4 linked regions of the Caenorhabditis elegans genome follow. The protein of the gene in region 1 interacts with the protein of each later gene in a pairwise test. Each region holds a gene or a part of one and is shown on either strand. Other genes may lie near its edges. The genes, in order: magu-3, F53G12.4, fbxb-9 and dyb-1.

Region 1 (6,324 bases):
TGGAAGTCGACCAAAAATTGTAGGAGTTAAAAATACAGCATTCTCGAAAATATTCAGAAATTCCGCTATTTTTTAAATTTGGCAAGTTACCAAAACTTTAGCTGAAAATTTGGAAGTTATTGAAAATTTTTGGAATATCATTTCTGGGTCATTAACGTGTGTGTGCCAGGGGTTTGCGGCAATTGCCGTTCGGCAAATCGGCAAATTGCCGGTTTACCGTTTCTTTAGATATTTTCATAGAATTAGCTAACTTTTCAAAATAGATGTAGGAATATTCATAGGATGCGTACAATTTTGCCGATTAAAATTGAAATTCTGAAATTTCCAAAAAAAAATGTGCAAAACCACAATTTGCCGAAAATTTTCGGCAATTACCGTTTTTACGCCAAATTCGGCAAATCTGCCAGCTTGTCGATTTGCTGGAAATTTCCCATTCCACCAATTTGCCGATTTGCCGACTTGCCAAAAAAAATTGTTTGCCGCCAACTTCTGGTGTGTATAGACTACTTCCCTCCTCAAAATATGTACATCTCCAATTTTAAACCAAATTGTCGGAGCCGGAAAATTCGAGAATCGGCAAATTTTTCGGCAATCATCTTGCCCTAGAAGGTCTCGCCACGCTCTTTCCACTGCTTGGCTTCTTACTCACTTCAGAAGTCAACACGAGCTCCGTACTCAACCCATGTTTCACAATGTAATATTCAATTCACTGTGCTCATTCCACTTGCATTCTGCTGCTAAATTAGCATTCTCCCCTTTTCTTTTCTTTTTCCTTTCTTGTTGTTGTTTCTTCAAACAATTTTCAAACCCACTGCTTCCCATCGATTCTCTCTTCAATTTCTCTGCGTCTTCAGGCATAAGTAGTCGTTGCTCAAAAGAGAGAGAGCTCATGAATTCGTTTCCCATGCTCTTCTTCTTGTCGTTGAAACATTCACATACACACACATGTTAATCTGATATCCCTTCTTACGACTTCTGGTTTTGGTTTCTTTTTCAATTATTTTTTGGAAAGGATATAGATATATGTTTGTATGCTTTTTATGGGGAAAAGTTTACCTAGATTTGTTTGCTTTTAATTTCATTTCCCAATTCTTTCTCTTTTAGGTTTTTTAAAAAATCGAAGCGGTCTAGGCATAAGAAATTTCTTGCCTAGACTTGGGTGATTCGTTTTGTTTTTATGGAAGAGTTTGCCTAGAATCGACAAGTTGCCAGAATTGAAATTTTTGATGAATTGCCGGTATTGAGAATTTCAACTCAAATCGGCAAAATTGTACGTATCCTAGGAATGCTCCTACATCTATTTTGAAAAGTAAGCAAATTCGAAAATATCTAAAGAAAACGGGCAAATTAATTTTAAAAAGGCACAGTTTTAAGTGTTTCCGTCTCTAAAAACTTCCAGCAAATTGATGTTCGGCAAATCGGCAATTCGGCGAATTGGCAAATTAAATTTTCCAGCAAATCGGCAAACCGGCAATTCGCCGATTTAAAAACTATTAGAGGTGCAAAACTAATAGAGGCGCCTTACTAATAGAGAATATACGGTATTCGATATTGCATCTAATGTTTAGCTCATCCCAAATTGCTATAAAAATCGCTGAAAGGCTCAAAAATATACCCCCGTCCCTTTATTGGCAATTTCGCTTAATTTACGTGTACCGTTACACTTTCCGAAAATTCCTACAAGTCCATTCAAAAAATCCAGATTCTTCCACCCTTTTGTAGTTTTTTTCAGATGGCCTAGAAAAAATAATGAATTTCAAATTTCTGCCGGCCACGAAACCTGTAACAATTTTTGTGTACTTTCTCCCAAACAACCATTCTAAAATGCTCTAAGCCTCGAATTGCGTAGTCGTTTCTCACTTCTTGTTTGCCCACGCAATTTCTGTATGCTTTTCGATTCTTCTCCCCCTCCCGTTACCACCTTGTTCTTCTTCCATGTTTCCTGGTTGTTCACTTGTCACTTTTTTTCTCCCGGTATTCAACAAAAAGCACATTTTAAGATCGAAAGATGAGCGAAGAAGATGAGTTGTCTCAGCTGAGATCGAACGCCGAAAACTTGTCCAGATGTCTTCATGTTTTATTGGAAAAAATCGAGAATATCGAGAAGAAGAATGGAAAGGAGCAGGATGCGGATAGCACAAAGGTGAGTTTTGAAAAAATATTTTAAACTTGTAGGAACCATAAGCTTGACAAATTTTTCATATTAAGTATTGCCAGCGTTCAAAAATCCCAATGTTTGCAATTTACCAAAATTTTGGAAAATCTAAAATTCTTTACAATGAGGTGGAGTGGCGGCTATAAAAATATTTTGAAATAGCCCATAATGCTGAATTTGTTTCAAATATAATAGTAAAACTTTCAAAAAAAATTGAAATTTTTTTGAATAAAGTGGCAAACTATATGGAAATCGGCCAGAAAAAACTGTTTTTTGCTTAATGTTAGCAACACGCCAACATTCTGAAAATTCTGAAAGTTTTAAAATTTAATTTTTTAATTTTTCAGAGCAACGGCACCTCTTCCTCAAACAAAGACGGGAAGGAAAAGTTCGAGCAAGTGGAGATTGAGGAGAAAACTGAAATCGATCCGAAAACCGGGCTGAAAAAAAGAACAATCGTAACTGAAAGAGTTCTGACAACGAAGACATTTCATGCTCTCGCACTTGATGGACCATCTCCAACCATGACACCAATTCTAAGATCATCTGGAACCAAAAATCATAATTATGCACCAATTCATCAATCAGCAATTCTTCTTCCACAGTATCAATCAAGAAAGACTACTGTAGATGCTGGGCAACTGACACAAGTAAGTATATTTAAATTAAAAATTATAAAAATTATAATATCATTTAAAGTGGAATATAGTTAGTGGTGGTAAATGTACATATAAAATAGTTTAAAAAATTGTCCAAATATCATAGATAAACTTATCGAAAAGTTTGAAATTTATCACCGTATACCTAACTTTGAAACTCTTGGTTTATTTTAAAAATATCAATCAATATATTATAAACTACGAAATGATAGAAAAAGATCTAACAATTATTTGTTAGTTGCCAATTTTTAAATAGGTCGAACGATAACTGAGATATAAAATGTCAAAGTTGAACAATGGGGTGCAATACTAATAAACGAAATACGGTATATTGTACAGCCATAATTTTGAAAGTCGATTCTTCAAAATTATTTCATATTAATTTTCTTTGAAATATTTTTATTTAAACGATCTAGGGGTTTTTCATAAAGCTCAATATCGACTGAAAAAAAATTTAATAATTTTTGAAGCGTTTAATTTAAAAAAAAAGAAAGTATTTATACAAAATTACCGACCATTCGCTTTTAAACAATTAGGACTATAAATACAAGAGGTTCTAAAAAACACATTTTCAAAATAAAATTTTTCCAATTTTTATTCAATTTTCAAATTATCTGAACGTTTTAGGTTGAAGTTGAGAAACACGGAGGCCAGTTGGTAGTAACAAAAATCAATGAAAAGTCCAATTATGATCTGAAGCCTGGTGATGTTATTACCCAAGTCGATGGAAAAGATGTCTACTTTAGAGCAGATATCGAGAATTTGAAAGGAAAAGTTGAACTGACAGTGGAACCCGCTGGGATTCATTGTGCGCCTGCGGTGAATATTTTTTAATTTATTCTGAACCTTGCATGTCGGACTTCTGCCAATTTTGGATTCCCATCAATAATTTCCAACTAAATTTCAGAACTTCCACCGCGTCCAAGACACATATAGCTCTCACATCGACGTGGACCGCCCGTGTCTTTGGCTGGATCTAGAAGTGAATCCAGGTGATGTAATACAAATTTTGAGTAAAGATGAAAAATGGATGCAAGTGAGAAAACTTGGTGATTTGACACAAGTTGGATATCTTCCAACTTCACTGACAATGGAGAAAGTGTCAATGCTCTGTCCATTCGGAAGAAGAACTCTTGTATTGCTAGGAGCAGTTGGAACAGGAAGAAGGGATATTAAGTCGATGCTTTTGAGGCTGGCTCCACATTATTTTTCAACAATTGTTCCATGTAAGTTCTGAGATTTGGAGAAATCCTCAAAAAATTGCAATTTTAGTCAAATTTAAAATTTTTTAAATTTGGACAAAAATTCGAATTCAAAATTTAGAAAAATATAATATTTAACATTGAAAATGAGTGTGAGGATCAAATGAGTATTGAAGAAAGTTCTAAAAAAAGCGAGTTATTAGTGCGATAATTATTAAAGGCGCACATCCTTATGCGCGCTCTTCATCTGAAAGTGTTTCAGTTCTGTCGAGACCTGGTATAAATTTAATTCAAAAAATGCTCCGAAGGAACGAACAAGTAATTAAATTTCTGTCAACTTCTGGGGTAAAAATAGCTTCCAAAAATATCGTCAATTGGATATTTTCCTATAAATTTGTGTTCCAAATTAATAGCTTAAATTTCTTAAAATTCTGAGATTATGCTAGAACGTTTCCTCATTTTCCCTAAAATCTCGCACTTTCCTTTCTCTACTGCCCGTATTTCAAATTTTTGAAATCTATTTATAATCAAAAATGTCAGCGAATGAACAATACTGGTAAATCCCCTAAACTTACAGTAACCTCACGAGCCCAACGACCTGGAGAAGTGGAGGGACGTGAATATCAATTTGTCCGAAAAGAAGAAATTTACCAAAAGATTCGTGAAGGTGGAATGGTTGAGTGGGGGGAATTGGATAGTCAACTCTATGGAACATCGGCAGACTCCGTTAGAAATGAAATCCGAAGTGGACGAATGTGTGTATTGGATGCTGCTCCTCAGGTTGGTTTTTATAATAATGACGGATTTCAAGTAATAGGAACAATTTCAGAGTGTAAATTATTTATATAACGCTGAATTCATGCCATTCGTGGTTCATGTCGTGCCCCCACCAATTGAAGAGTTTACACAACTTGAGGCGGTTCGAAGGACTCACAGGTAAGCAAATTCGGTATGAACTATTCCATATTTTGATTTTCAAAAAGGAAAACTGAACAACATTCAAAAATTGAGAAAAAAACAATGTTTCGGCGATAAAAAAAATTCAAAAATTGGGAAATCCTGACTTTCCTAGAAATTTGAAAAAAAAATTTTTAGGGAAAATTTTATTTGATTTTTGCAAAGTTTATCGAGAAATTTAAATTTTTTTTCAAATTATGGCGGGAAAGTCAACATTTTATTGTCAATTTCCGTCGGTATATTGAAAAATTAATTTTTCAGAAAAATAAAAAATATTTCAAACTAATCTTTTTGCCGAATATCTTCCGAAAATATATGTTTTTTTTTCAAAATGTGTTTCCCGGTAAATTCAAATTTTAGATTTTTTTAATGGAATTTTCAGTGTTTTACTAATTTTTCTTTGAAAAAACATTTGGCGCAAAATTCAAATTTCTAACAAAAAATTTCCAGGACTCAAGGCCAACTCCAATCAATTTGTGACGAAAGTGCAAAGATAGGATTGGAATGTAAATCAAAGATTCATCTAACACTTGTTAATAGGAATATTGATGTTACATTCAAACGGTAGGTCTTTACTATGACGTCACTTCTCTTCCACTGTCGTATCTTTTCCAGATTGGTTGACTCGTTGGAAACTCTTCGCTACGAGACCCAATGGGTTCCACATAGTTGGATGTGCTAGATGTCTGTCTGCAAAAATATAATATGAATCACTGCCAATTCTCGTTTTATTCTCTTCCTCTTTCTCTCATATCCCCCAACTAGTCGATCTCCCCCGCCTTTTTTCTTTTCCGTACCAAATAAAGCTATCTATTTTTCATTTATTTGAACACCTTACGCTCATTTCCGAGCTCTTTTTGCTGCCATTTCAACATTTATCGGCTCACAACATATCCAGCAAATCATGAGACTTTCCGTTTTATTCTGCTGCGCACTTTTTGCAACAATTTTTGCAGACGATGTAGGTTTTTAGAATTAGATTTATGTCAAGGTATGAAACAACTTTCAGAAAGATTCCAGCTCTTCAGAAAATTTACTTTCTGACAAATCCTCTAACATCACAAGTGCCGATGCATCAGATGGAAAACTTCAAATTGAAGAGCAATTCGATGGAAATGATAACTCAACAGTAACATCGAATGGAACTAAAAGCCCTTCTTCAGTTGGATCATCTCTTCCAACAAGCTCATCTGGTCCTGAAATCAAGACAACGACTCCTAAATCTGGAAAACCAAGGGCTCCATCTTTCACTGCTTGGTCATTTTTCAGTGGGTGTTTTATCCTACTATTCAAGTTTTAACATACTTCGAAAACATGTTGTGACATTTTTGGAAGGACTGGTTTTTTAACT
Region 2 (5,404 bases), 3.8 Mb from region 1:
GGTTGTGGGCACTACCGCTCCCCAAGGGGACTAGGTTTCCGTGTGGAAGAGAAAATGTTTATACTCTTCCATGTTATTTGCCAATAGAGCGGATTTGCATCTGCGAGGATGGATGAGTTGTTATGCCACGCAGCTAATCCCTATGGCCTTGGACTTTTTCTTGGTAACTGAAAAGTTGCTTTCCTAGCAATCGCACTAGCATCAATGAAAGAGTTTTTTTCGTTTTCAAAGTCATCAGGACTTACCCAGAAATTTACCAGTAAGAACTAAAATAAAAATAACCAAATATAAATTGAGAAAACTCATCTCTCACAGAAAATCGGCGCCAAACTTTGAAAAATTACACTCAAATATGGTTTTGTGTACATTTTGCTCCTCTTTCTCAGTGGCTCCGCCCGCTCGACACACATTTGTTCGTAGTTTGCGCGAACTTTTTTCAAGTTGAATTGTTGAAATTCCTAGGTGAGAATTTATTTATTTCAAAAGAAATTTTTTAAAAGAAGAAAATTTTAAAAAGAATAATCGGATCCTCCGGAAGATAGTAGACCGGTGTCGAAATCTTCAAGCTCGTCGATTGATTCTCCTGAAAATTTTTTATTATTGATTTTTCAGGAAATTCATCGATTTGTATGTAGAGGCATGTTTTTTTTTTACTTTTGCTCCGCAAGCGGAATATGCGCCTTTAAAATTATAAGCTACAGGAACAATGATCGATTTTTAGGAGAGTTGCATAATCACGTGCTCGCTGGCTGTCTCAAAATTCACGTTTTCTCGCGGACGAGAAAACTTGAGAAATATGAGAAAATGGCCTAGAAAATCCTGGAAGAGGAGAATTCCTCGTCCACAGCCAAAATAGCGTGTGAAAGAAGAGATGCAGACGGCAAAACGGTTATTCTTTGCGTTTTTCACGTTCAGAGAAAAAAGTAGTATCTGCGTCTCTCACGCCCAATGGATAGCGAGAGTTGGCGCAAACGTGAATTCTCAATGAGGCGCGTTTGCTTCAAGCTTATGCAAAAGGACAGCCAGTGACCACGTGCATAATTTTTCGAAATTTTTGCATGGTGCAAGTTCAAAGTTACCTTCTGACAAGACCAACGGCTCCACTAGCTCCTGTTCCTTTGGTTTCGCTTCCTCCTTCTTTTTCTCCATAGGCAGTATAGACTTTTTCTTCGCCACGCCATCCTGCTCGAAATCCTCTAAATCATAATCCACGTTATCCGAGCCGAAAATGGCGTCGATTTCCCGACTTTTCGCGCTTTTTGTCAGCGGTGGTCGTCCCATGGAGAGCGGCGGAAGATGTGCGTTGAAAATCGCCGGAAGTGGGTCAGAAGTGCTTGCCACGTCATCAGTGACTAACGCGGATTTTGACGGACCCCATGCGTTGGGAATTTGGCTTAGTTCGATCATTTTCTCCGCGCCAGCTGCTGTGGGTTTCCCCAAGATATCCGAAAAAGTCAACTTCTCCTCGGAAGATGACGACGCGGATGACGTGGAAGAGTCGGAGGAGGACGATGAATCGTCGGAATCGTCTTCTGCCTGGTTGGATAGACGTGCGAGCTGAAAAATCGATCGATTTTTTTGCCAAGAAAAGTAGGAAAGTAGGACTCTCATGTCGGCGCCGCAAACGCCGCTCTCACGCCGCGATCTGAAATCTTTATAGCGATGCGCAAAATCCAAAAAGTGTCGGACCCGGAGTGAAGTTTGCACCACATAGTGTCATACGCTGGCACTAAATTTTACGCGCGCGCGCAAATACTTTTTTAATCATCATTTGAGTGATTTAGGGCATTGAAATTTTTCTTTTGAATAAAAGTCGCGAAACATCGATTTTAAAAAATCGCCTTGTCGACTTTTGTTAAATATTTCAAAAAAAAATTATTTAACGCAACTCACTCGTTCCCTCTCCATTTCCATCCGTTTCCGCATCGTTTTTCGAAATTCCTCATCACTAAGCGGTGTAATTTTCAACGGTGCTCGCTGTTTATCGACCATATTAATTTTTGCAAACGGGCGGCCGGCGCCAATCGATTTTATCGATTTTCGTTCAAAATCGTCACCGGTGCCATCGCGAATATCGATTTTCAGCTGACTTCGCAATAGATTATCGATTTTTTCCCCATTTTCCACGTGTTTTTCTGCACTCTCCATGTAGTTTCCAGACATTTCTGTTTTCAAGACTTGAGATGATATTGGATATCCATTCTGCTCGAGCCAATCGGCAATCATGCTATGGGTGACACGTTCTGTAAATTTTCAGAGTTAAGGCCACGCCCAATTATAGGATTTTCTTCAATGTGGGCGCACGATGTTTTTTGTTTAAATAGAAACTATGTTATCGACAAAAAATTGCACGCGCTCAAATTATAAAAAGTGGGCGTGGTAATACCATGTGTCGCGTTTTTTTTCAAGATTTCATGAGAATTACATGAAGATATATATATATATATAATCGAAAAAATACGATCGCACAAATTTCTCATAATATATTTTTTATCTACCTTGTTGACTAGGCTCCTCCCCGTCCTTCGACAAGACAGCTACAACAAAATAACAACGGCAACAAGATTGGGGGCGGAGTAAAGTTCAACAGGTAGATCAAAAATAAATTATGAGAAATTTGTCAGATCGTACTTTCTCGATAATAATTTTCAATGTTTTTTTCAGAAAATGAAATAACAACGCCTATTTTGCAGTTTTGCAAAAAGTGGCCGTGGCCAAAATACCCGTAGAACGCGGGGTTGCACTGAATCCTTGATTTTCTGACATTTTACCTATTACGGAAACACAAAATTCTGAAAATGCATATTGCACAATATATTTGACGCGCAAAATATCTTGTAACGAAAACTACAGTAATTCTTTAAATGACTACTGTAGCTCTTGTGTCGATTTACGGACTCGATTTTTGAAATTTATTTATTTTCGAATATTTTCGATATTACACTTTCATTCGTTTCTTCGTGTCTTTATTTTCTCATTTTTATCTAATTTTAAAATTGAGCCCGTAAATCGACACAAGCTCTACAGTAGTCATTTAAAGAATTACTGTAGTTTTTGCTACGAGATATTTTGTATTTTGAATTGTGTGTTCCTGAAAAAATTTTGAAGTTTTTAAGTCGAAAATTGTGATTTTTTTGGCGAAAAGAGCATTTTTCATAAAAGAAAAATCCTTTTTTTTTCAGAAAATTTCAAATTTTCTAAAAATTTCACCTCTATACGTCAAATCCCTACTCGTTTTCTTTGGCGTTTCCCCCAACGTGGCACTTATCGTCGCGCGGATATATGTCTGAAACAATGGGACACCTCAAAATATAATAAATATTTTTGAATTATTAATATATTCAACTATTGTGCTATTATTACCCGCAATGGTGCATATTGTGGCAATTCGGACAATTGATCGGCCAATTGACGCAGGATAGGATTTGTTGAGTGCATTTAATAATAGTAAAGGTATAGTATAGGGCGTGCGCGAGTGAGCCAAAAGCTCGGGGAGTTGCTATGGATACCAGAATATGGAGAGACGACACGAATCGCTTCATTCACATACACCAAAATCTGTGGAATATATCAGAACTTTTACAAAATACGATAAATTTGATGGGTGAGGTGGGGATCACTCGAGTTTTTAATTATAAAGAGGTGCTATAAATATAAAAGGCCTCTCAATTCTCCGTTAGTTGTGCGTAGTAGAGAGGGGGAAAATTGGGAGTTAAACACTAGGTGAGAGATAGAGAGAAAAGAGGAAATCCTTATAATATATATAATTTTTGTTTAAAACATGAGTTGGTCGTCCTATCATAATGCAAAAAAGAATAATAGAGAAAGTTACAGATTTTCCAAAAAAACCTACTGTAGGAATATATATTGGGGGACTGCATGGGTTACATATATAAATATATATAATATAGATATTTCAAAAATATGAATAACAAATAATAATAGTTATATATAAATATATGTGATTTTTTTCGTTTTTTTTGTCTAGGATTTTGGGGTGAGAATGATGGTGATTTTTGTGTGTTCTAGTAATGTAGTAAAGAGGTGAGAAAATGGGAATGGAGGGACTCGTACACCGATGAACAAAGTAGAAAATGGGAAAAAGAGTCTTTTAAAGAATGGAAAGATGAATTTGGAACTCGTTGAGGATGGGTTTTTGCTAGATGAGAGTCTACACGATAGTAATGGAATGATGAATGGATCCACAGCTTATCCATTGATCGGCACGAGAGTATGATCGTTGTGATCGCAGGTCGATGAAGTCGGCGAGGCAGATGCTGAAGCCAACGATCCTGGGCTCAGATTCATGTTTCCGCCAGACCAGATTGTGCTGAGAAGACCGAAGCCGGCGGATGTTCCTTTGAGGGAGGACATGAGCCTGCAAAAAATTTGATTTTTCATAAATTTACAATTGAAATTTTCTAGTTTTTAAAGAGAATATCACACTTTTGTGGAAAAAATTTACGACTTGATATTTCGAGATATGTCGAAATTAAAAAATATGTATGATAAATTGTAAATTTCAGTAATTTTCCTTTAAATTTCAAGTTTTTCTCATAAAATAAATAAATTTAACTTTACCTCTTAAAATTGGAATTTCACCTTTTTCTCTCAAAAACGAGGTTTTGAAAAAATCAATTTTTTGCATGTGAAAAAAAACATATTTTTTTGAAGTTCAAAAGAAAATTACAATTTTTCTTTTATTGTTCAAAAAAAATTTTCTTTTTATAGATTTCTGACGGACAAAATCCAATTTTATTTAAAAATTTTTGAATTTCAAATGAAAATTATAATTTTTATAGAGAAAACTACGATTTTACTCTTTTTTATTTTCAAAAACGGATAGGTTCAAGATTTCGGAAAAATAATTTTTTAATGTGAAATTTTTTAAACATTCTGAGTTTTAGAAACGTTATTTTTTATTTAAAAAATTGATAAGAAGCCGTCAGGTTCCGAGTGGAAAACACGAAAACTTGTTTTTTTTTTAAATTTTTTAGCGGAAAATCAAATTTTCTTTCAAAAATTTAGAACTTTGAAGGAAAATTGCAATTTTTAGTTTTATTTCAAAAATTTATAAAATTCCTTCAAAAATATATACCCATTGGTTGGGGATTCCTCGCGTTTCTCCAATCCCATCGACGACCATGCGGACAGGGCATCGTACTTGCGGCTGAGAATTTCTGAAAAATCCTTATTTGTCATTTAAAATTCTTATTAAAATTCGCAAAAAAAGCTTACCGTTCTCCATAATATCATTAAGCGAGTTGTTGGTTCCCCAGTAGTCGTAGGTTGGCAGATCTTGTTTCGCCGATTGTCCTCCTCCCAACGATGGACGAGAAGACAGTCCAGTACCGGAAAGAGATTCCGGAGTCAACGAACTACGCATCGATGGGAAACTGCGGAG
Region 3 (3,749 bases), on another chromosome or scaffold:
ATTCGAAAAATAAATCAATAATAATTCTCCGACAAATTACTAAAAGGTATGTAAGGGCAGACTTTTCTTTTAGCCTAAACAGTTGTGTTAACCAAATGTTAATGTAATGGCTTGAAATTTGTATCTAATTCAATTCACATTTACAGTAACTCAAATAAAATGGGCGACTTGATCCAGCTAAGTGTCGGTACAAAAGTAAAAAAGTGGCAAATTGATAAGAAACTCGGAGAGGGTGCATTTGGTGCAGTCTACAAGTGTTCCAACCCGAAAGGAGACCTTTTTGCACTTAAAGTCGAGGGAAAAGACGAGAAAATTCAGTTGTTGAAAATGGAAGTCTACGTGTTGAATGAGTTGAAGAAGGCCGGAGGACGTCATTTCTGTAATATCGAGGATAAGGGACAAGTCGATAATTTCAATTATGTCGTGATGACATTTGTTGGGTTGTCACTTGCCGATTTGAGAGCCATTTCACCAACTAAGAAATTCTCGTAAGTTTTCTTTCAGAGAAACGGTTTTACAGAGATCTGGCAAAACGGAAGTTATTGTTCCCGTTGGATCTCCCAGAATTCAATCACCAAATTGCCTTTCCAGAATGGGAACCGCTATCTCCATTGCCCGTCAATCGCTGGAGGCACTCGAGGACATGCACAACATTGGATATCTCCATCGTGACGTCAAACCTGGCAACTACACAATCGGACGTGCCGAGGTCAATGAGCTTCGCAAAGTTTATGTGCTGGATTTCGGTATGGCTCGTAAATTTGCTCACGAGGATGGAACTATCAAGAAGCCCCGTAACGTCGCCGGGTTCCGTGGGACTGTCAAGTATGCGCCTGTCAGTTGTCATGCTGGACGTGAACTCTGTCGTCAGGATGATTGCGAAACGTGGCTTTACATGGTGGTGAGTGTGTATTCGGATCAAAATATTATCTGCTTTTCAACTAGATTTGAATTCGCGCTTAAAGTCACTTGCGCGATAATTCAAACTCTGCCATTTTAAGGAAGGCAGAAAGCTTATCAGAAATTGAAATTGATCCGAAATCTAACATTTTAAATGTTAAATTTCCAGGTTGAGCTCACTAAAGGGTCCCTGCCATGGCGTAATATGACAGAAATCCAGGATGTTGGAAATGAGAAGCGTGCTATTCGCCGTGATCCCATCGTCAAGAAGAAGATGTTCGGAGGGTAAGAGACAGATTTTCTAAAAAACTATTTTTGAAGTGTTGAAAAAACTTTCATCACCCGTCTCTGTTTCAAAACCTATCTTATTTCAGCTGTCCACGTGAGTACCTTGACATTCTCGAAGCGATCGATAAGGGACAATTCTTTGATGAGCCGAACTATGAACGGATCTACTATCTTTTGAGAGAGGCAATGAAGAATACGGGATCCACTGAATATCCGTATGATTGGGAGCAATCTCTTATGAAGAAAACGAAGGAAGAACAGGAAAAGAAGAAGAAAGGAGTTGTAGATCAAACAGAAAAGGTTATCAAGAAAAAAGAAGTTGAGTTGGCAGAGGGAAAATCTCATAAGGAGACTAAGGAGGTTACCAAAGTCAGTAAGGAAATTGTTGAGGAAAAGAAGGAAGAGAAGAAAGAGGAGAAAAAGGAAGAGAAAAAGGAAAAGTATGAAGACGATAAGAAGGAGGAGTTGTATTGATTGACTTTCGAGAAAAATAAATTATTTTTGAATGTTTCATGTGATATCTAGTTTTTTATCCTACGCGTACGTGATTATTTTGAATATTGGAGTTTCTCATTAGTAACATTGCTTTTTGTTCGAAGCATTCAGGATGAGGTCACCTGGGTTTCCTGCCATGCTCAGTTACTACAACATTGACATCTGTTGCAACTATTCAGTTAACTATCGATCTATATTCTTTTGCAGTCATTCATTTTTGCCTAACACAACTATAATGGCTGCCGTTTCTGAATTTCGTCTTCTTCAATTGCCTGAAAGAGCTCAACGAATTTCACTCTCGCACATGAGTTATAATTCAATGTAAGTTTATTTTGTTAACAAACAACCAGTTTAGTCATTTTCTTTTTCAGATTCTCACTCTCCCTGTGCTCCACAAAAAAAAACAAAAGACCTCGTTCGAAATTTCAATATAAAGTTCTATCGATTTTCTTTAGAAATATTTGGCGACATTGCTCTGATTATTAGCTGCGAAAACAGTCAAATCGATTTTAGTCTAATTCATTGAGCAGTAAAAAAACGTTACACCAGGATGATGTGCTACGAAAAACGTTAGATTTTTTGCAAATAGAGTGGAGAGTTTTGTATGGAAACGACCAAACTTGACATTTAGAAATTGGATAGATCACTTTCTCAATATTCTAAATATTTCAACTTTGAATGTTATAATGGCAAAGAGAAATGTTCATGTTGATTTTGAAGATCTTAATAGTTGTTTAGAAGGAGTACCTATACGAACGCTCACCTATGAAGGTATTGAAATAACTTCAGATAGAATTAATCGAAAGCATCCCGTTAGTGATACATTTTTATCAAAAGCGGGGTTTCTTGATTTTTATAATTGCACGTATAAAAGCTCACAGTTCATTCACAAGTTTCTCATTCATAATACTACGACGGTATTCACTCGTGGAGTGCCGCGATATAACCTGAATGATTTGCTGGTGTCTAATGGCCAAAAAATTTACGTTCAAGTCGGTAGAGGCATCATTTTTTTGGAAAAAGATGTCAATAAATTTTTAAAGCATTGGATACGTGGGTCCAATAGAGAACTTAAATCATTGGCATTCAGAGCTCCGATGAATATGGAAATAGAACATGCTATAGAAACAATATTAAAAGGAATATGTTACAAGGATGCACGAGAAGAAGATGCAGCTTCTATTAAACTGGTTCACATCTGCAATGGAAATACCTTTAAACATCCAATAATCAAAATAAGTGGTTTTCGTATTAAACGATTCGATGGAACAAATGCAACAGTTGTAATCAGATTATTAAATGCAAATAGTGTATGTTGTAATGTTGATATGTTTGTTTCCTAGATTCTTGTTTTAATGCACTCTCATTAATTGTACTTTTTATGAACACATATTTATACTCACTTTCCCTCTGACTCTGTCCCCTCCGAGGCACTGTCCCTTTGACCGCTATTTTTTGCTGCTTACCTTTCTTTGTTTCCTTTCTTTTCACTCATGGGACGAAATAAATAATAATCTTAAACGGAAGAGTGCTGGAGCATTCAGATACATTATTTTGAGTATTCGTCTCGAGGGCTGTGTAATTGATTTTAATCTGTACATGCTGAATAGTTGTGAGAAAATTACACCAGGACTATGTGCACCGGAAAAGGTTCGACGTTTTACAAATGATGTGGTAAATTTTGAATTAAAGCAACCAAACTTGAAATTTAAACATTGGATAGATCACTTTCTTAATATTCCCAATATTTAAACTTTAGATTTTGCAATGGGAAGGAAAAATGTTAATGTTGATTTTTGAAAATCAGGTTTTTTCGTTTGAAACATTTAGGATGAGGTCACCTGGGATTCCTATCATGCTCATTGTCAGTCACTACAACATTGCCATCTGTTGCAACCATTTAGTCAGATATCGATCTATATTCTCTTGCAGTCACTTCATATGTCTTGCATTTTCTGCATAACACATCTATAATGGCTGCCGTTTCTCCATTTCGTCTTCTTCAATTGCCTCAAAGAGCTCAACGCATTTCACTTTCGCACATGAGTTCTGTTTCTGTGTAAGTT
Region 4 (7,772 bases), 2.4 Mb from region 1:
GCCCACCCCTGATCTACACGAATTTTAAACAAAAAAAAACATTCCGCATAAAACCGCCTCCTTTTAAAATTGTGAAAGTGGAGAAACAAACACACGTTAAGCCAAAATTTCTTTCATTTCGTGGCCTAGAAAATCCAAAAACTTAGGCCACTAATTTTCTCTTCCTCATCCACTTCGTAATATCCCTGTGTATAATGCGTATACTTTTACACCTCATTGAGTTGAGACGGATGGGGTGAGGGGTCCCAATGTTTCAGTGGGGGCCCCCTATCTCTTTTTCTCTGCACTCTCTCTCTCTCTCTCTCTCTCTCTCTCTCTCTCTCTCTCCATCTTTCTCCGTATGCTCACATTCATCCCACCGCTGCTCTCTGAGCCAATACGTCTCCCCCCCCCCCCTCCTCTCCTTTTGCACATCGATCCGTCTTGTGTCTCTCTTTCTCTAATACTCTCTATTTCTCTAAGTCTCTCTCTCTCACTCACGTTTGCCTAAATTCACTTTCTCCAGTGTTCCCTTGAGTGCTCCGAGAGCAAAAGCGTATACCACGAATTAATTTTTAATTCGTGTATTTTTGGCTCGATTTTCCCTTTTTTTTCAACATTTTTCTAAAAATTATTGCTGCAATCGCGCTTTAATGGCAATATTACCTGAAAATTCGTATGTTGTTGCAATGCAATCGCGCTCTATTGGACAAATTTTTAATCCGAATTTTGAAGTTTTCTTTAGTGGAAATCTCTATTGAAATTTTTTTATAAATTGTTTATACAAACACGCTCTAATGATAAAAAGGCTTTAAATTGTGTACTCCGCGTGGAAAAAAGCAAGTTTTTTGTTGTATTTTTTGAAAATATTTTTTTTAAAGAACTTTTTTTGAATACTCTGTGTAGTTCTCGTGGACAAGTTTGGGCCTATTTCGCTTAAAAACCTGAAACACGCGAAATTCCAGTTTCGGGGGATTTCAACTACCCGATTAGAAAAAAAACTTTTTTCACAAATTCAATTTCTGCCGAATCAAAATTCTCCGGAATTCAAGTTTCCGCGAATTTCAACCTAAAAAAATTTTAGCTCAAAAACCGTAAGGTAGTTGAAATCCACGGAAACGAAAATTCCGGCGAATCAAGTTTCCGTGGATTTCAACGCTTATTGAACAAATTTCTACAAAACGCCCCCGGGAGTTCAAATCCGCGGAATCGAAATTCCCTGGGATTTTGATTTACCGGGATTCAAGTGGTGTCAATGGGAGAGGAAATGCATTTTCTCTTACGCGCGTGGTGTCAGAGTGTCTCATTTCGGTTTGATCTACGTAGATCTACAAAAAATGAGGGAAAAGAAGAGACGCAGAGTTCTCAACTGATTTCTCATTCCCGCATTTTTTGTAGATCAAGCCGTAATGGGACAACCTGATACCACGTGACCGTTATTATTTTTCTCTCAATCCTGAGATTTAAAATCCCGCGGAGTCGAAATTCCCCAAAAATATTTTTTGTACTCCTCGTGGACAACCTCGTTGGTTCCCTGAAACATATTGGCTTAGTAATGTGCCAAGCAAATCAGCGCGCATACATGCAAAACCCATTAGGCTCCCCCCAAATGTCTTCTCTCCCAGAGTTAGACTCCGCCCACTAGGAGCCAGAGCTCCCCCAATTTTCTTTGTTTTAAACCCTACCACTTTTTAGCTCTGGCCAGCCATTTTGTGGGTGGAGTTTTGGTTTAAATTTTTTTAAAATTGATTTAAAATTTAAATTTTAAATTTCAGACACTCTGGGTTTTTCTCCTGAAATGTTGTGGTCAAATGGTGGAGGAGGACCACGTGAGCCGAGCAGTGCACCATCACCAGACCATCATCGTGCAATGCATTCTGTACCACCAATTGTGGCATCTGAAATGCAACAATTGATTGATGAAATGCGTGGGTGTTCAATTTTGCGGGAAAATTGGCTAAAAAACGCTAAAAAATTCCCGCGTTTTTGATTCTCCGGAATTTTAACTTCTATGGGATTATTTTTCGGTGGATTCGAATTTTCGGAAATTTTCAATAAATCTTTTTTCATTAGAGATTTTCAAAGAAAAAGTAGAAAAAATACCTAACTATGTAAAAAAAATTAACGGAAAATCTCCACGTTTCTAAGTCTTCGGAATTTAGATTTCCCTGGAATTAAGTACTCGGTGGATTTGAATTTACGGGATTTTTTTTCTTTAAAATTTTTTTCAAATTTATGTTCAAGTTAGCACAGCAAAAAAATTTTTTTTTTAATTCACGTTTTTGAATCTACGGAATCCAATTTCCCTGGAATTTCGCTTCCGCGTATTTGGATTTCTGAGTTTTTAAATATAAATTTTTGCAGAAAATGTGAAAATTACGTGGAAACTCAAAATTCGCCGAAAAAGGACAAAAAATCTCGAGTTTCCAATTTAGCGGAATAAAAATTCCCGGGAATTTTGTTTCCGTGGATATTAACTACCCAAATTTTTTACCATTTTTCTCAATTCCAATTTCAATTTTTTCATGGAAAAATTGGTTAAAAAACGCAAAAAATTCCCGCGTTTTTGATTCTCCGGAATTTTATTTTCTCTGGGATTTTTTTTCGGTGGATTTGAATTTTCGGAAATTTTCAAAGAAAAAGTAGAAAAAATACCTTATTATGTAAAAAATTAACGGAAAAATTTCCACGTTTCTAAGTCGTCGGAATTTAGAGTTCCCTGGAATTAAGTACTCTGTGGATTTGAATTTACTGGATTTTTTAAAACAAAATTTATACGAAATGCTCAAAGTTGATACACTCTCCAAAATGTTCATGAAATTTACAAGTTAACACAACAAAAAATGTCAAAAAACTCCGCGTTTTCAAATCCCCCATTATCGAAATTTCACGGGAATCCAGATTCCAGGGAATTTGGCATTCGGGGAATAAAATTTTCGGATTTTTTTCTATGAAAATTAGTCAGGGTCTGGATAAAATAACAAACGAGTGGAAGCAAAAATTTCGCCGCAAAAAGAACAAAAAACTCGAGTTTCCAATTCCGCGGCATAAAAATCCCGTGAATTTTGTTTCCGCGGATATCAACTACCCGACTTTTTTAAAAACATTTTTTCTCAATGCTCAATGTTGTCGAAAAAACACGGAAATACCTTCAAAAAAAATCCAAAAAAAAAACCCTAAAAATTCCGGTATCCAATTCTACAGAATCGAAAATTCCCTAAGAATTTTGTGGATATCAACTACCCGAGTTTTTTTTTGAAAATTCATGAATTTTTCCGCTACTCCTCTTGAGAAAGGGAAGCTTATAAATAATTCTTCTTTGCGAAAAAGTGCAAAAAAATTATTGGCTTTCATTGGTTAATGCCCAAAGTTCAGAAAAAAAGTTGAATCATCAATAGAGCGCATTTTCAGGTCTCCAAGATTTCGACTCCATCAGATTTGCCACGTATCGAGCCGCCTGTAAACTGCGATTTATTCAACAAAAGACGAAAGTTCATTTGGTAGATATTTGGAATATGATTGAAGCTTTTCGAGAAAACGGACTCAATGCATTACCCCTACATACTGTGGTATGTTGCAAGTGTGCTCTATTGAGAATGTGGGGGAAATTTTCAGATCAAAACGTCACGCGCCGAGCTTCTGCTAACTACAGTATTCCACAATTTGAATAAAAGACTTGTAGCGTCACAACATGTGGACACGGATGTATCGATTTCTTTGCTACTCGCGTTTTTGTTAGGTGCTTATGATAAGTGAGTTTTGGACTCCTCTCGGACAAAAAACTCACGCTTCTGAATCCCCGGAACCCAGATTCCCCAGGAATTTAGATTCGGCAAATTCGAAATTCTAAGAATTTTTTCTTGTGTTACTGCGTGAAAACTGTGTATTTAGAATTCCAATTTTTACTGCAAAAAATAACGAAAAATATTCGGGTTTTCGTGTCTCCAGAATCTAGATTCCCTAAGAATTTTGATTCCGCGTATTGGAATCTACGGGATTCAATCTACACATGTTCTGTAAATAACAGAAATTTTGGTAATATATGAAAAAATTTAAAATCCTAAAACTGAAAGAAAATTTCCGGTTTTCGGATCCGCGGAATTTCACATTCCACCGGAATTTGGTTCCCACAGATTTCAACTATCCGAAATTTTTTCTGTTTTTTTTTGTTTTCAGCATAATGTTTTGATTTTTCAAAAATGAAAATTGACTGAAAGAGCAGAAAAAATCTCAGGGTTTCATATCTCTGGAATTAAAATTTCCCAGTGAATTTTTATTCATATAAGGACACTTTGCAAAAAAATTTTTTTTTGATAAAGTCACGGATTTCTGGCTTCCCTCATAAATTGAAATGGAAGAGTTTTTGCCGAACTAGGCCAGTAGATTTACGGCGCGTTGCGTGTCGCGTCGCGGCTCGATTTTAGTTGTAAAACTAAATGTATTTGTCCGTGTGGAGTACACGACTTTCCCGTCCGGCAGGCGATTATCAATGGAGCGCGAAAAATTCAATGAGGAAGGCCAAAACCCCGTGCGCAGTTAGGCTGTAATTCTCACAACGACACTCCGATATTCCGCTACCTAGAAGTGACGTCACACGCTTCAAAAGCCAATTTTTCAGACAAAATACCGGACGTTTGACGGTTTTTTCAATAAAAGTCGCGTTGGCAACACTCTGCGCTGGAAAATTGGTGGACAAGCTGAGATGTGAGTTGCGCTTGCGAATTTCAAAAAAAAATCTGAAATTTCAGACATTTTCTCTCAAATCGCTGATTCGAATGGATTAATGGATCATATTAAATTTACTGATTTTTTGCAACAAATCCTCTCCCTAACCACTGCAGTTTTCGAAGCACCGACGTTTGGATTTTCCGAAAACGCGGTTAATCAGTGCTTTCATAAGGATGAGAAAGTATCTTTGAATGTGTTTCTGGACACTTTTTTGAGGTAGATATCAATTTTGGAAATAAATAAAAAAATAGATTTTAGAAAAAGTTTTGAAAAAGTTTTGAAAAAATTAACCTTTTACACAAAACTACGTTAGCATGTGGTGCCAGGTTGTCCAATTACGGTTTGATCTACAAAAAATGCGGGAATTTTTTCGCCCAAAAAATGTGACGTCAGCACGTTCTTAATCATGTGAAATCAGTTGAGAACTCTACGTCTCTTCTCCCGCATTTTTTGTAGATCTACGTAGATCACGCCGAAATGAGACACTCTGACACCACGCGCGAAAGAGAAAATGCATTTCCTCTCCCATCGGGGGGAAAACCAGTCCCTCAACTCACCCAGAATAATAATTTAGGTGTCTTGGAAGTTCTGAAACACCTAACATTTTGAAAAATTAGAAAAAATAATAGACGTAGGGCTGAAGTCCTCCCGCGGCCACGTAAGGCATCCCCGTGGCCTAGGATTTTCAGAGCGGTGTAACTTTTGAAAAACTGTAAAAATTTTTTTTTAATTCTGCAATAATTGTATCTATAACTTATTCAATGAAACCAAATCAAAAAATCGAATTTTTCTTTTCATGGGGTCACGGGTCCCCACGCCGCCACCGAAGTCCTCGCCGTGGCCTAGAAACTTTCAAACAGTGCATCCCTAAAGCCACTGCGCCGATTTTCTTGAAACTTTATCAGAACACTTTATATAACAATTTCTATCAAATTATCAAATAAAATCGAATTTTAGTTGTCATGGGGTCACGGGTCCCCCCCCCCCCCCCACGGGGTGACCGAAGTTCTCACCGTGGCCTAGAATCTTCAAAATGGTGTAACTCTATAGCCACTGCGTTAATTTTCTTGAAAATTTATCAACCAACACTTTGAAACCTGTTCTGTCAAATTATCAAAAAATCATACAAAATTAATATTCCAGCGATCCATGTCCCCCATGCATAATGTGGCTCCCCTTGCTACATCGAATGGCGTCTGTGAGCAACGTGTACCATCCGGTGGTGTGTGATGCGTGTCAAGTCAGAAGTTTCACAGGATTTCGGTATAAATGTCAGCGATGCGCCAATTATCAGTTGTGTCAAAGCTGTTTTTGGCGGGGAAGGACGAGTCAAAATCATTCAAATGAGCACGAGATGAAAGAATATTCCAGCTATGTGAGTTTTTTGAAAAATCGATTTTCCACGTGGAGTACACGAAAATGTATCTATAAAGCGCGCGATAAAATTATTGATTTTCCGCCGGCGATGAAGAATCGATAAAATTATTGATTTTCCGCCGGCAATCAAAAAAATCGATAAAGTTATCGATTTTCATTCGACAAAAACGATTAGTTAACAGAGAAATTATCAATTGCTGGACAACAAACAATCAATAAAAATGTAGATTTTCCGCCGGCAATCAAAAATCGATGAAATTATTGATTTTCCGCCGGGCAAAAAAAAAATCGATAAAATTATGGAAAAAAGCGTTCTCAACTCCAAAATCAATAAATCAATAACTTAGTAATTTCAGAAATCGCCGACAAAACAGCTCGTACACTCAATTCACAAAAGTCTCCAATGTATTCCTGCCACGTCAACCGTCGGCGATGCAAACATCGATATTTTTAACGCAAAAATCGGTGGCCCGGTCAGCAGCAAACCTGCTCGACCGCTAAACCTGAACAACATCGTCCCGGCGACACCGACGACGATCCGCCGGCAACACGCTGCCACGTCATCAGCGGACTGGCCGACGTCACCGGTACTTCTGCCGGGACAGGCGTCGCATGGAGGAGTTATTGATGATGAGCATAAGCTTATTGCGAGATATGCAGCAAAGTTGTCGGGAAGGGCTGATGTGAGTTTTTAATCGAAAAAAATCAGGAAAAAATCAATAAAAATCTTGATTTCCCGCCGGCAATAAAAATCGATAAAAATCTTGATTTTCCGCCGGCAATAAAAAAAATCGATAAACATCTTGATTTTCCGACGGCAAACAAAAAAAATCAATAAAATTATTGATTTTCCGCCGGCGATAAAATTCGATTAAATTATTGATTTTCCGCCGGCAATCAAAAAAATCGATAAAATTATTGATTTTCCGCCGGCGGCAGAAAGTCAAATTATTGATTTAATAAAATTTGATCGATTATCGATTTTTCTTTTTAAAAATCAATAAATTGCAGTATCCCCTATCAAACGGTCGAAGTATGAATAGTTCAATGGTCGGAGACGAACGGACCCTTATTGCTCAACTGGAAGAAGAAAATTCAATGATGGTACGGGAAATGGCTCGACTGGAGAGCCAAACAACTTCCGATGACGGGCTCGCCGGGCTCCGCGACCGGAAAATGGAATTGGAAGAGAAAATGTTTGAAATGCAACAGAGGAGGAGAGAATTAATGATGCAATTGGAGCATTTAATGGCTCAGTTGAATGTAGGTCATACCTACTGTGGCTAACGCGCTCTATAGATAAACAATGTAAAAATCGATAATTTTGCAGAATTCAAAAACAATCGTTATATTTTCCTCCAAATTTAGAAAAAATACTTGATAATTTTCAAAAAATTCGAAAAATCGATAATTTTTATATTTTAAGAAAACAAAGTTTTTGGAGTTTTTGATTTTCCGCCGGAGATAAAATCGATAAAATTATTGATTTTCCGCCGGCGATAAAAACCGATAAAATGTGTAAACCTGTCGATTTTTTAAGCTTCAGTAAAAATCAAAAATTCAATATCGGCTTTTCTGAAAAATTCAACCTTCAAAAAATCAATAAAATTAAATTATCGATTTTTTGATTTCAAAACAACAAAAACCTTTTCCAGACGGGACCCCAACCATCAGGAGGTGTATCATCT

What was found.
Region 2: the proteins of magu-3 (region 1) and F53G12.4 interact in a two-hybrid assay, tested with the Caenorhabditis elegans proteins (one large-scale study listed by BioGRID).
Region 3: the proteins of magu-3 (region 1) and fbxb-9 interact in a two-hybrid assay, tested with the Caenorhabditis elegans proteins (one large-scale study listed by BioGRID).
Region 4: the proteins of magu-3 (region 1) and dyb-1 interact in a two-hybrid assay, tested with the Caenorhabditis elegans proteins (one large-scale study listed by BioGRID).

The regions. Positions count from the first base shown.
Region 1 is NC_003279.8:3,900,885-3,907,208, reverse strand, and holds magu-3 (Guanylate kinase-like domain-containing protein), read left to right. Parts: upstream 1-2,000; 5' UTR 2,001-2,008; coding exon 2,009-2,143; intron 2,144-2,502; coding exon 2,503-2,805; intron 2,806-3,441; coding exon 3,442-3,633; intron 3,634-3,721; coding exon 3,722-4,040; intron 4,041-4,593; coding exon 4,594-4,796; intron 4,797-4,845; coding exon 4,846-4,952; intron 4,953-5,423; coding exon 5,424-5,537; exon of another isoform or gene 5,538-5,588; coding exon 5,589-5,655; 3' UTR 5,656-5,788; downstream 5,789-6,324. Other genes in the region: C50F2.7 (Sialomucin core protein 24), read left to right, coding at 5,878-5,934, 5,983-6,241.
Region 2 is NC_003279.8:132,388-137,791, reverse strand, and holds F53G12.4 (LisH domain-containing protein), read right to left. Parts: upstream 3,456-5,404; 5' UTR 3,439-3,455; coding exon 3,364-3,438; intron 3,287-3,363; coding exon 3,211-3,286; intron 2,244-3,210; coding exon 1,894-2,243; intron 1,558-1,893; coding exon 1,080-1,557; intron 584-1,079; coding exon 510-583; downstream 1-509. Other genes in the region: mex-3 (K Homology domain-containing protein), read right to left, coding at 4,210-4,378, 5,099-5,180, 5,239-5,404.
Region 3 is NC_003282.8:11,160,699-11,164,447, reverse strand, and holds fbxb-9 (F-box domain-containing protein), read left to right. Parts: upstream 1-1,896; 5' UTR 1,897-1,918; coding exon 1,919-2,004; intron 2,005-2,054; coding exon 2,055-2,169; 3' UTR 2,170-3,195; downstream 3,196-3,749. Other genes in the region: C08F8.6 (non-specific serine/threonine protein kinase), read left to right, coding at 160-488, 592-901, 1,070-1,185, 1,275-1,662; C08F8.15 (F-box domain-containing protein), read left to right, coding at 3,657-3,742.
Region 4 is NC_003279.8:1,481,329-1,489,100, forward strand, and holds the start of dyb-1 (Dystrobrevin-1), read left to right. Parts: upstream 1-1,754; 5' UTR 1,755-1,777; coding exon 1,778-1,907; intron 1,908-3,390; coding exon 3,391-3,548; intron 3,549-3,594; coding exon 3,595-3,731; intron 3,732-4,525; exon of another isoform or gene 4,526-4,597; coding exon 4,598-4,683; intron 4,684-4,727; coding exon 4,728-4,923; intron 4,924-5,850; coding exon 5,851-6,082; intron 6,083-6,278; exon of another isoform or gene 6,279-6,299; intron 6,300-6,440; coding exon 6,441-6,767; intron 6,768-7,095; coding exon 7,096-7,347; intron 7,348-7,739; coding exon 7,740-7,772. UniProt on the Caenorhabditis elegans protein: Plays a role in cholinergic transmission and as a functional partner of dystrophin (dys-1), necessary for muscle maintenance. Required for localization of ctn-1 near dense bodies in muscle cells.